Arabidopsis thaliana: one gene and its partner. The protein of the gene in region 1 interacts with the protein of each later gene in a biochemical or structural test. Each region holds a gene or a part of one and is shown in the gene's direction. Other genes may lie near its edges. The genes, in order: PEX19-2 and ABCD1.

Evidence for each region.
Region 2: the proteins of PEX19-2 (region 1) and ABCD1 form a complex in vitro, tested with the Arabidopsis thaliana proteins (one study listed by BioGRID).

Annotation. Positions count from the first base shown.
Region 1 is NC_003076.8:5,785,841-5,790,052, reverse strand, and holds PEX19-2 (peroxin 19-2), read left to right. Parts: upstream 1-1,748; 5' UTR 1,749-1,886; coding exon 1,887-1,932; exon of another isoform or gene 1,933-2,059; coding exon 2,060-2,099; intron 2,100-2,268; coding exon 2,269-2,557; intron 2,558-2,865; coding exon 2,866-3,182; intron 3,183-3,264; coding exon 3,265-3,310; 3' UTR 3,311-3,639; downstream 3,640-4,212. Other genes in the region: AT5G17560 (BolA-like family protein), read right to left, coding at 382-523, 853-920, 1,256-1,579. UniProt on the Arabidopsis thaliana protein: Contributes to morphology determination of peroxisomes, but not to import of peroxisomal matrix proteins. Required for proper post-translational import and stabilization of peroxisomal membrane proteins (PMPs).
Region 2 is NC_003075.7:18,486,369-18,491,489, forward strand, and holds the start of ABCD1 (peroxisomal ABC transporter 1), read left to right. Parts: upstream 1-2,065; 5' UTR 2,066-2,401; exon of another isoform or gene 2,402-2,768; 5' UTR 2,769-2,851; coding exon 2,852-2,913; intron 2,914-3,006; coding exon 3,007-3,292; intron 3,293-3,593; coding exon 3,594-3,818; intron 3,819-3,953; coding exon 3,954-4,151; intron 4,152-4,287; coding exon 4,288-4,742; intron 4,743-4,834; coding exon 4,835-4,970; intron 4,971-5,045; coding exon 5,046-5,121. Other genes in the region: AT4G39840 (cell wall integrity/stress response component-like protein), read left to right, coding at 1-255. UniProt on the Arabidopsis thaliana protein: Contributes to the transport of fatty acids and their derivatives (acyl CoAs) across the peroxisomal membrane. Provides acetate to the glyoxylate cycle in developing seedlings.

The DNA of each region.
Region 1 (4,212 bases):
CATGCATACATATAATTTTTATGACCACAAATATATTTTAATCTATTTATCGACTAAATTTTTTTTTTTGAAATGATAACATTAGCTAGTAGAGAATAAAGTTTATTTTGAAGATAATCCGCCACCACAAACGCTAATTTTGTTCTTATTCATTTAGAGCGATTGAAAACGCCAAACACGTGTAACCGCAAACCGCAAACGCTCCAACACTTAACATGTGTTGGCGGGTTGCAAGAGAACCAATCAAAGTACTTAAAAAATAACCAAAAGCTGTATATCAGTTCCTTTTGCTTTTTTCTTTTTGATAAAACAAACAGCATTGTCAGCTAATCAAATAATATAAGATATTGAAGCCTTTTAGAGTTCGGAAAATTTAACGCTTCAAACTTCAGAAGGAGTCTTTGTTGTCATTTGATCAACGGCATGAACAACGTTCTGAAGCTCTTCCCAAATGGCTTTGTAGACCATCCTTTGTCTGTTCACTGCAGATTGTCCCTCAAAAGCCGATGATACCACATTGATGCTACAAATATTAAGCAAAACTGGTATTAAGTAACAGAACCATCTAATATGACAAGTTAAAGTAAGAATCTATGACTGGATTCCATCAAGAGCAGAAGAATAAGTACTAACTTATATCCCAACTTTGATGATTCTACTACTTGTTGAACCTGAAACTTTTTTGTGATTAAAATGAAAGAAAAGGAATCTCAAAATATGAATTTATCTATATATCTAACAAACTTCACTAAACACTATCCATAACAGTGATAACACACATCTGCAACTTCACTCAAGTGTAATAAAGAATCATCATTGGAAGACAAAAATGAGTTAAATCAGAGTACTTACCAGACATGACGTCCATCTCCAGACATATCCGTTACAGTAACCGACTCTGCATTCAATTGTTCTTTGATCTGCAAATGAAGCCAAAACCTCATAAGTAGAGAGACATGTGTTGATAAATCGAAAAAAAGAATCGTTTGCTTCAATCATATAAGTAAGAGACATGATTCCTCATTAATTATCTTAGCTTAGTGATCTTGATCATTTTGGAGCTACTGAGAGCAATCGTGTTGCCAATACCAAGTTTCCATCAACTAAATATGACACATGTTGCCAATACCAAGTATCCAATCAATTCCTTCAAAAATTCACTAATAATACTATAACCTATAAATTGAATTGACACTGAAACATACACAATGAATCAATTTCACTGAAATTAGTTAATGAGGTATAAAAATCCAACCTTTAGCTCCATGGATTGCATAAGGGTTTGATCAATAGAACCAGCATCATTGATTTGAGAGGATTTAGTACTGAAATTAAGGCTGCGAATGTCCAAAGCACCAAACCCAGAAACCCTAGAAACTCTATTGCCGTAAATCGACGACGGCGCAGTCTCTTTACGAGACAAAACGGCGCTTACACATCTCGAGTTAGTGAATCTCACGAGAGGAGCTGAGAATGAAGCGAAGGGTCTCTTTGAAGATTGAAAAAGGCGATAAAGACTCGCTCTTGTGGAAGAGAGAAGAACGTACGGACGAGTTGTCGCCATTAATGTCTGCGCCATTGCTTGAGAGACTTGCGAGTAAAAAAAAAAAAAATGTTCTGTGGCAATGTCGTTGGTTCTTGAAAAAATGGGCTTACGACACAACACAGTTAAACTTAATGGGCTTTCGTGGTTTCAAGTCATTTTAAGATTTTAATAATATAATTCTTTAATGGAAATAATGTCAGCCGTTGGATCGAATCCTGAACTTGATCAATTGAACAACACCGCCTTTGGAAATTTGTTTCTCTCTTCAATGCGATAATTCTCTCTTCCTCTTCGAATTTTGTGAGTTTCTTCGAGAGTTGAGGAAGAGAGACTCGAGAATATGGCCAACGATACTCACACCGATGACTTAGACGAGCTTCTCGATAGTAATAATTTCCTAACGAATTTTAATTTGATTTGATAACATGTTCACCAATTCTAGGTGATTGGTGAAAAACGTTTTTGTTCTTGTGGGTTCGTTTTCTATAATTTAGAATTCTGGGTCTTTCTCAGGTGCCTTGGATGATTTCAAGGATCTTAATCTTACTCAAAGGTTACTCCTTTTTCTCATAATCTCTGTCTCTCTCTAATTGTATCTATGCCACGTGGTTAGATTACTTAGCTCTAGAGTTTTGAGATTGTGGTTACATCAATACTAAATTAGAGGTTCTGTTATGTTTTTGGTGGGAATTGTGGTGTTGATTAGCTTTGGATTTATGTAGAAATGGAGGGGTTAAGAAAGAAGAGGGTGATAAAAAAGAGACAGAGTCATTGCCAAGTGGGGTTCAAGGTCTTGGAATGGGGTTACCAGATATGAGGAGTAAGAAGAAAGGAAAGAAAAAGATTGCTAAAGAGGACCATGTTACTGAGGCACTTGATAAACTCAGGGAACAAACTAGAGAAACTGTGAAGGGACTTGAGTCCTTGTCATCGAAGCAGCAACCTACAGGTTCTGATGATGCTATGGTTGAAGATTGGATCAAGCAATTCGAGAATCTTACTGGGTCTAACGTAAGTATACACAAACTGAGTTGTTACTTCTTGCTATACTTATCTAGTTTAATGTTCTCTTTATCTTCAAGTTCTCTGATTAGATTAGATTACTAAAGTTTCATCTAGTTAAGGTTGTTGCAGAGTAGTAACACATGTTGCAAAGTAGTTTTGAAGGCTGTGTTAATAGTAGTGATACTGATACTAATATCGAAAAAACCACAATTGAAGATGAGAATTAGTTTGCAGAACCATTTGAAAGTAGTCTTGATCACTAGAAGTTTTGTTTTTATGATTTCTCATTTCATAATTTCCATGTTTTTGTTTAGGACTTGGAGTCGATAGTGGACACGATGATGCAACAGCTGTTATCGAAGGATATTCTTCACGAACCAATGAAAGAGATTGGTGCAAGATACCCAAAATGGCTAGAAGAGCATGAATCCAGTCTAAACAAGGAAGAATTCGATCGTTATTCACGCCAGTATGAACTTATCAAAGAACTCAACTTGGTGTACGAGAACGAACCAAACAATTCGACCAAGATAATGGAGATAATGCAGAAGATGCAAGAGTGTGGACAACCACCGAGTGATATAGTGCAAGAGATGGATCCTGGCTTTGATTTCGCTAGTCTGGGCCAAATGTAAGTCTTCTTCCTTATTGGAATCTCTGTGATCTTTAAAGACCCCAAGGTGACTAAGTTTTGTATATATATATGTTCACAGGTCTCCGGACATGCTCGAGTCTTCACCAAATTGTTGTGTAATGTGAGGGAAGAAACAGGTTTTAGAAAACTGTTTGGCCTTGTCCAGCCATTGAAGAATGGAGAACATGTTTTTGTTTCTCTTGTGCATTGTACAATGCAAAGCTTGTTTAAGTTCTTTTTTTTTTCTTACCTGAATACCAAAGTTATTGGGTTTCGGTTCTTGTTCCTTTTGGTTAGTTCTGTTTTGGAATAATTTTGAATCTCTACACACAAATTCATAAATTCACTGAAACATAAACGTGCTCTTCATCCAATTCATTTCGGCTGTTCAATAAATGAAGTGTCCTATGTAAGGTTTGTCACGTCAAATCAAAAGAGGAAAGAGCCAAAGAGGCATTGCATCATAGTCTCATGGGTTGGCTGAATTTTCGGTCCTATACTAGTTGGAATCTCAACTTTTCACTCTAAACTTTTAGCCACTTAAAAAACCATCATAAAAAACTTTAATCTCGATAAAACTACACATACTTTCGGATTTGTTCTTAAAACTATGCCTCCAATTGAACCGACCAGTTAACTGATAATTTTTCATCCGGTTTGACTTAACCAGAATTTAATCAAAATTAATCCGATTTTGATTCTATTTTAGCAATTTTGACCCAAAAAATGTAAATAAATTGTCTTCTTAAGAAGTAAAAGTATTTTTATTAATTTTTATTTGTGATAAACAATTAAAAATATTAAATTATAACTTAATTTTAACAAAACTTAATATGACAAAATATACCCCAAATTATATTTTGAGCCTACATTTTGTTATAAAATTTTGATAATATACAAACATATACATTTTCCTTTTGGCAATCATCTCTATTTTCTTATAAACTTAAAGCTATGTCTTTTTTTAAAACAAAATATTCATTTTTCTTGCTATGACCTTTGAACTTTATATATATAATAAAATTCA
Region 2 (5,121 bases), on another chromosome or scaffold:
CTCGTCTTCTCCACGGATTGTGGTTTGGGCCTTAAGGTATTGGGCTTGGCGCAGACCTTTGTGGGCTTTGCTGTAGGTCTGCATTATTACGTGGCGGTGTTTCATAGGGTGGTGCTTCGTCAGCCTCCGAAGACGAACTGGAAGATACACGGTGTGTATGCCACGTGTTTCCTTTTGATTTGTCTGTTATCTAATGCTGAGAGGAGGAAGAAAGAGTACTTGGAAGAAGGCGGTGACGAAGGGAAGAAAAATTGAAATTTTCTTTATTTTATTCTTCTCTATCTTTGTATTTTTATATTTTAAATTTTGAAAAATTCGGCAAAATTTTAGCTGAGAAATGCAATAGAAAGAACAATTACTGGTGGATGGTTGGAAACTTTTTTTAAAAACTTCAATTGTATTTATAATAAATCGATAAATGTGGAATAAAATTTCATAATCTCATTATAATTGTCTCTTTTTTTTCTTTGTAAAAATTACAAATATGTTGTGAAATGTGGACGGCGAGAAGAATGAATTAATTAAATGTTTTTCTTGATAACCGCGAAAATTAAATGTTTCTGTTTGAAATAAAAAAAATATGAGAAGTCAAAAATTAAATAAGGTGGGGTCTACGGAATCGTAGAGTCGACGACTTTCGTGAGGATGGGGCATTTCGGTCATTGAAGGAGTTACCGACGGAACTGGGTGCTGTAGTGTTTTATTGACTTGTGTCGGTGGATTGGCGATTGAGTGTGGGGCGTATGGTGAGAAAAATGGGGCTTTTGTGTCCTAACGTGTTGTTGTATGGGCCACTCATTTCTCAAGGCCCATCACCTCACCTCATATTGTGCCGGAATGTTGTTTTAACTTTATGACGTGACGTGTGTATTATGAAACTGAAAATAGAGTTCCTCCAACTTTGAATCTATTTTACAATTTTATTATTATTTTTTTTTTTTGTCAAATCATAGAAATTACATGCACAACTATCACGACGATAGAAATTTATAAGCACAATTAGCCAAATAAAAAAATCGAGGAAAAAGTTTCTAAATGTAGGCAATGCCCAAATGTCATAAATAGCCTACTTATTTTGTCAATCTTGTCACTTAGAAACTCGGCACTTGTATAAAAACGTTTCATTCAACTTTTGGTATCACATGTACATTATTCAATTGTGAATTCCTAAATTTATTGTGTGCTGTGATAATTCACCAGATCAACCAGTTTAAAGACCCGTGAACAAAAATGCCCATAACATTTTTTTGTATTGGGTTTCAATCAAGTTAAGGCCCATTTTGGTTTAGTATACGGATTGTGTTGGGCGAAAGGAGTGATGTAATATGTACTTATCAGAAACAAAGTAGGAAGACATCACAGTATCACAACATTGATTTGTGTGCTTCAATCATGCGGTGTACAATTTGCACTTTTCCCACTTCACAAAATTCACACCTTAAATATCAATTTGTGAAAAGTATTGACTTTTAACTTTACCAAATTAAACTCTTTTAGTGAACAATCTTTAACAACCATTTTATTTCACATATCTGATGACTCAATAATTCGTGCAAATTTCAAATGTCCTTGTATATTATCGTGTTTGAATTTCAACTTTTTTTCCAAACATGAAATAACAATCCATGATTTTATTGCTAATATGTCTATCATATATTTAAGTTTACAGACCAATCACAATTTCCTCAATTAGAAAAAACAAACTTACCAATGGAAGGATAGCAGTGTATGTCCATAGGACTCGACACTTCTATACATAGTACTATTTGTATTCAAATTATACATAAAGGAAATAAATCTGTCTATACATGGTTTTAGTACCAAGTTTTTTAATAAGAAAAAAGAAACAATTGATAGTTTGATACATTACCAACTAGGCTAAGATATTTTATTTATTTTTACAGTACAGCGTTAACATTTTTTTTAACGAGAATGAAACGGTGGCTAGAGTTACCTGAGTAAAAAATCTAAAAAATAAGGTAAAAATATCTGATAGCATTCGTAACGAAATCAATTAGTACTAGACAAGAAGATGGTATAAAAATAGAAGAAAAGTAAAAAATGGCACGAGTGAATATGTTCGCACGTGTAAAATAAGCGTCATCATCTTCTCCTCTTCCCAAGTTTCGGCTCTCACTTTCTCTCGTTCTCTCTCTCTCTCTCTATCTCTATCTCTCGATTTGGGGGAGTTCCGTCACGGTGGACTAGTACGTCTCGTTGCCGTTGGTGGCGTAGTCGGAATTAATTTCCTCGGCGTTGAGATTCACATGGTCTAGAATTCTAGCTAAGTGGTTGTTGTTGTTGTTACGATTTCCGATTTCTCGAGTTTTTTTTTTATATTTAGCTTCTGTTTCGTTTATCCCTCCCGGAGACACTCCTTGGTCGAATCTCTCATGCTGAGGTAATTCGTCATGGATTTGTTTAATTGCATAAGCTTTTTTGCAATTGTCTAAGCTTTTATCGGTTTGTTTTGTTTTTTGATTTACGAATCTAGATTTTGCGCTTTCTTATGTATGTAATCAGGATCAAATTTGCTGGGTTGTTAAACAATTTTTGTCTGTGTTAGGATTCTAATTACGCGTGTTACTATACATGAATCATTTTCATTGTTTTTCTTCTTGATCCAAAAGTGTGAGAATCTTACTTTAGGCGTAATTCACATTTTTTGCATTAATTTCAACGGTTACACGTTTTTTTTCTTTGCTTTAGATTTGTTATAATTTGGTTGTTCTAATATTCATAACCTTGGAGTTTTGGTATTACTTCAGGTGTTTTGGACACTTGTTGTCAAGAAGAAACCAGTTTTGGTTCTGATTAATCGTTGGTTGGAAAATATACTCAATTCCAGGCCATGCCTTCACTTCAACTATTGCAGTTAACTGAGCGGGGTCGGGGTCTTGTAGCGTCAAGACGGTAACCATTTCCTTGCTCTTCATTGTATTCTAGATGGAAGTTTTTTTTGTTCGTTTGGGCTCAGATTTCATCTTTCTCTGTTTCATTCTTTAGGAAATCTATACTGCTTGCGGCTGGGATTGTAGCTGCTGGTGGAACTGCTGTTTACCTGAAATCAAGGGTCGCTTCCCGGAGGCCTGATTCTTCGCGTCTTTGCAATGGTCAGAGTGATGATGATGAGACTTTGGAAAAGCTGACTGCAACTGATCAAAATGCAAAGATAACCACGAAAAAGAAGAAAGGAGGAGGATTGAAGTCTCTTCAGGTTCTGACTGCTATTCTTCTCTCTCAGATGGGAAAAATGGGTGCCAGGGATCTTTTGGCACTAGTCGCCACCGTGGTATGCATTTCCTCTTAATTAATAAGTTTTTACTTTTGTTTTATGTTTTTGCCCAAGTCAGATAGATTTTCTGTCTGGTTGTTTAAGTTTGATCTCGTGCTGTTGCAAAGTCCTGTAGATATTCATGGAAATTCACAATTGCGAACCGTTGCTTTATTGTTATGGAATACCGGGTGTCTCTCTTTTTAGCTGAAAGAAACACCAATCTAACTTTACGGCCAATAGTCGGGAAAAGTCTGGTTACTTCTCTTACTTATGCGGGACTAGTACTCTTTCCAATCTGTTATTCTATAACTTGTAGGTTTTCAGAACAGCTTTGAGCAATAGATTGGCAAAAGTGCAAGGTTTCCTTTTCCGTGCTGCTTTCTTAAGGCGTGCGCCACTGTTTCTACGGCTCATCTCCGAGAATATTATGTTGTGTTTCATGCTATCAACATTGCACTCTACTTCAAAGTACATAACTGGGGCATTGAGTTTGCGATTCAGAAAGATATTGACCAAGATTATCCATTCACACTATTTTGAGGTAGCAACTGCCATCTCTTCTGCCATTCAATTGTTTACTATTTCTTTAGATACGAGTGTTTTTGACTAGTGAGAGTATCGAGTATACTTCAGACTGCTGGATATCTCTTCACTCAGTTTTAATTGTTGTTTTCAGAATATGGTATATTACAAAATATCACACGTGGATGGTCGGATTACGCACCCTGAACAAAGAATTGCCAGCGATGTACCAAGATTCTCCTCAGAGTTGAGCGATCTTATACTGGATGATTTGACGGCGGTTACTGATGGAATTTTGTATGCATGGCGCCTGTGTTCATATGCTAGTCCAAAATACATCTTCTGGATACTGGTGATTCATGTTTAATCTTCTATACTTCAAGATTGACCTTATGTTGGGCCATTTATGCTGCTTTTCCTTGTATCCGTTCACAGTACAATTCTTTCGGTCTGGTATCTATAAACTAACCTATACAATTGTTGTGTAGGCCTATGTACTGGGGGCTGGGACGGCGATAAGAAACTTTTCTCCTTCTTTTGGGAAATTGATGTCCAAGGAACAGCAGTTAGAAGGAGAGTACCGGCAACTTCATTCACGCTTAAGGACTCATTCGGAAAGCATAGCATTCTATGGTGGGGAAACCAGGGAAGAATCTCATATACAACAAAAGTTCAAGAATCTTGTTAGCCATATGAGTCACGTGCTTCATGATCACTGGTGGTTTGGTATGATCCAAGATTTTCTGCTGAAGTATCTTGGGGCCACAGTTGCAGTTATTCTGATTATCGAACCATTCTTCTCTGGGCATCTAAGACCTGACGACTCGACCTTAGGAAGAGCTGAGATGCTTAGCAATATAAGATATCACACTAGTGTCATTATATCTCTCTTTCAGGCGTTGGGAACACTTTCTATAAGTTCCAGGCGGCTCAACCGACTCAGGTAATGCTTTATGTTGGATCTCATGTCAGACGCTTAAATGGTGAATACTGTTTAGCTGTTTCTAATTATTGGAATGTTGTTGCTTCCGGCAGTGGTTATGCTGACCGAATCCATGAGTTGATGGCTGTCTCAAGAGAACTCAGTGGTGATGATAAATCGTCTTTCCAGAGAAATAGAAGCAGAAATTATCTAAGTGAAGCTAATTATGTAGAGTTTTCCGATGTCAAGGTAGTTGGAATAGATTCATGTTACTGTAATCCTTTCCAAAATGTCGTGTTCTTAATGTTTCTTAACACACTCTAGGTTGTTACTCCAACCGGAAATGTTTTGGTGGAGGATCTCACCCTTCGAGTTGAGCAAGGGTCTAATCTTCTGATTA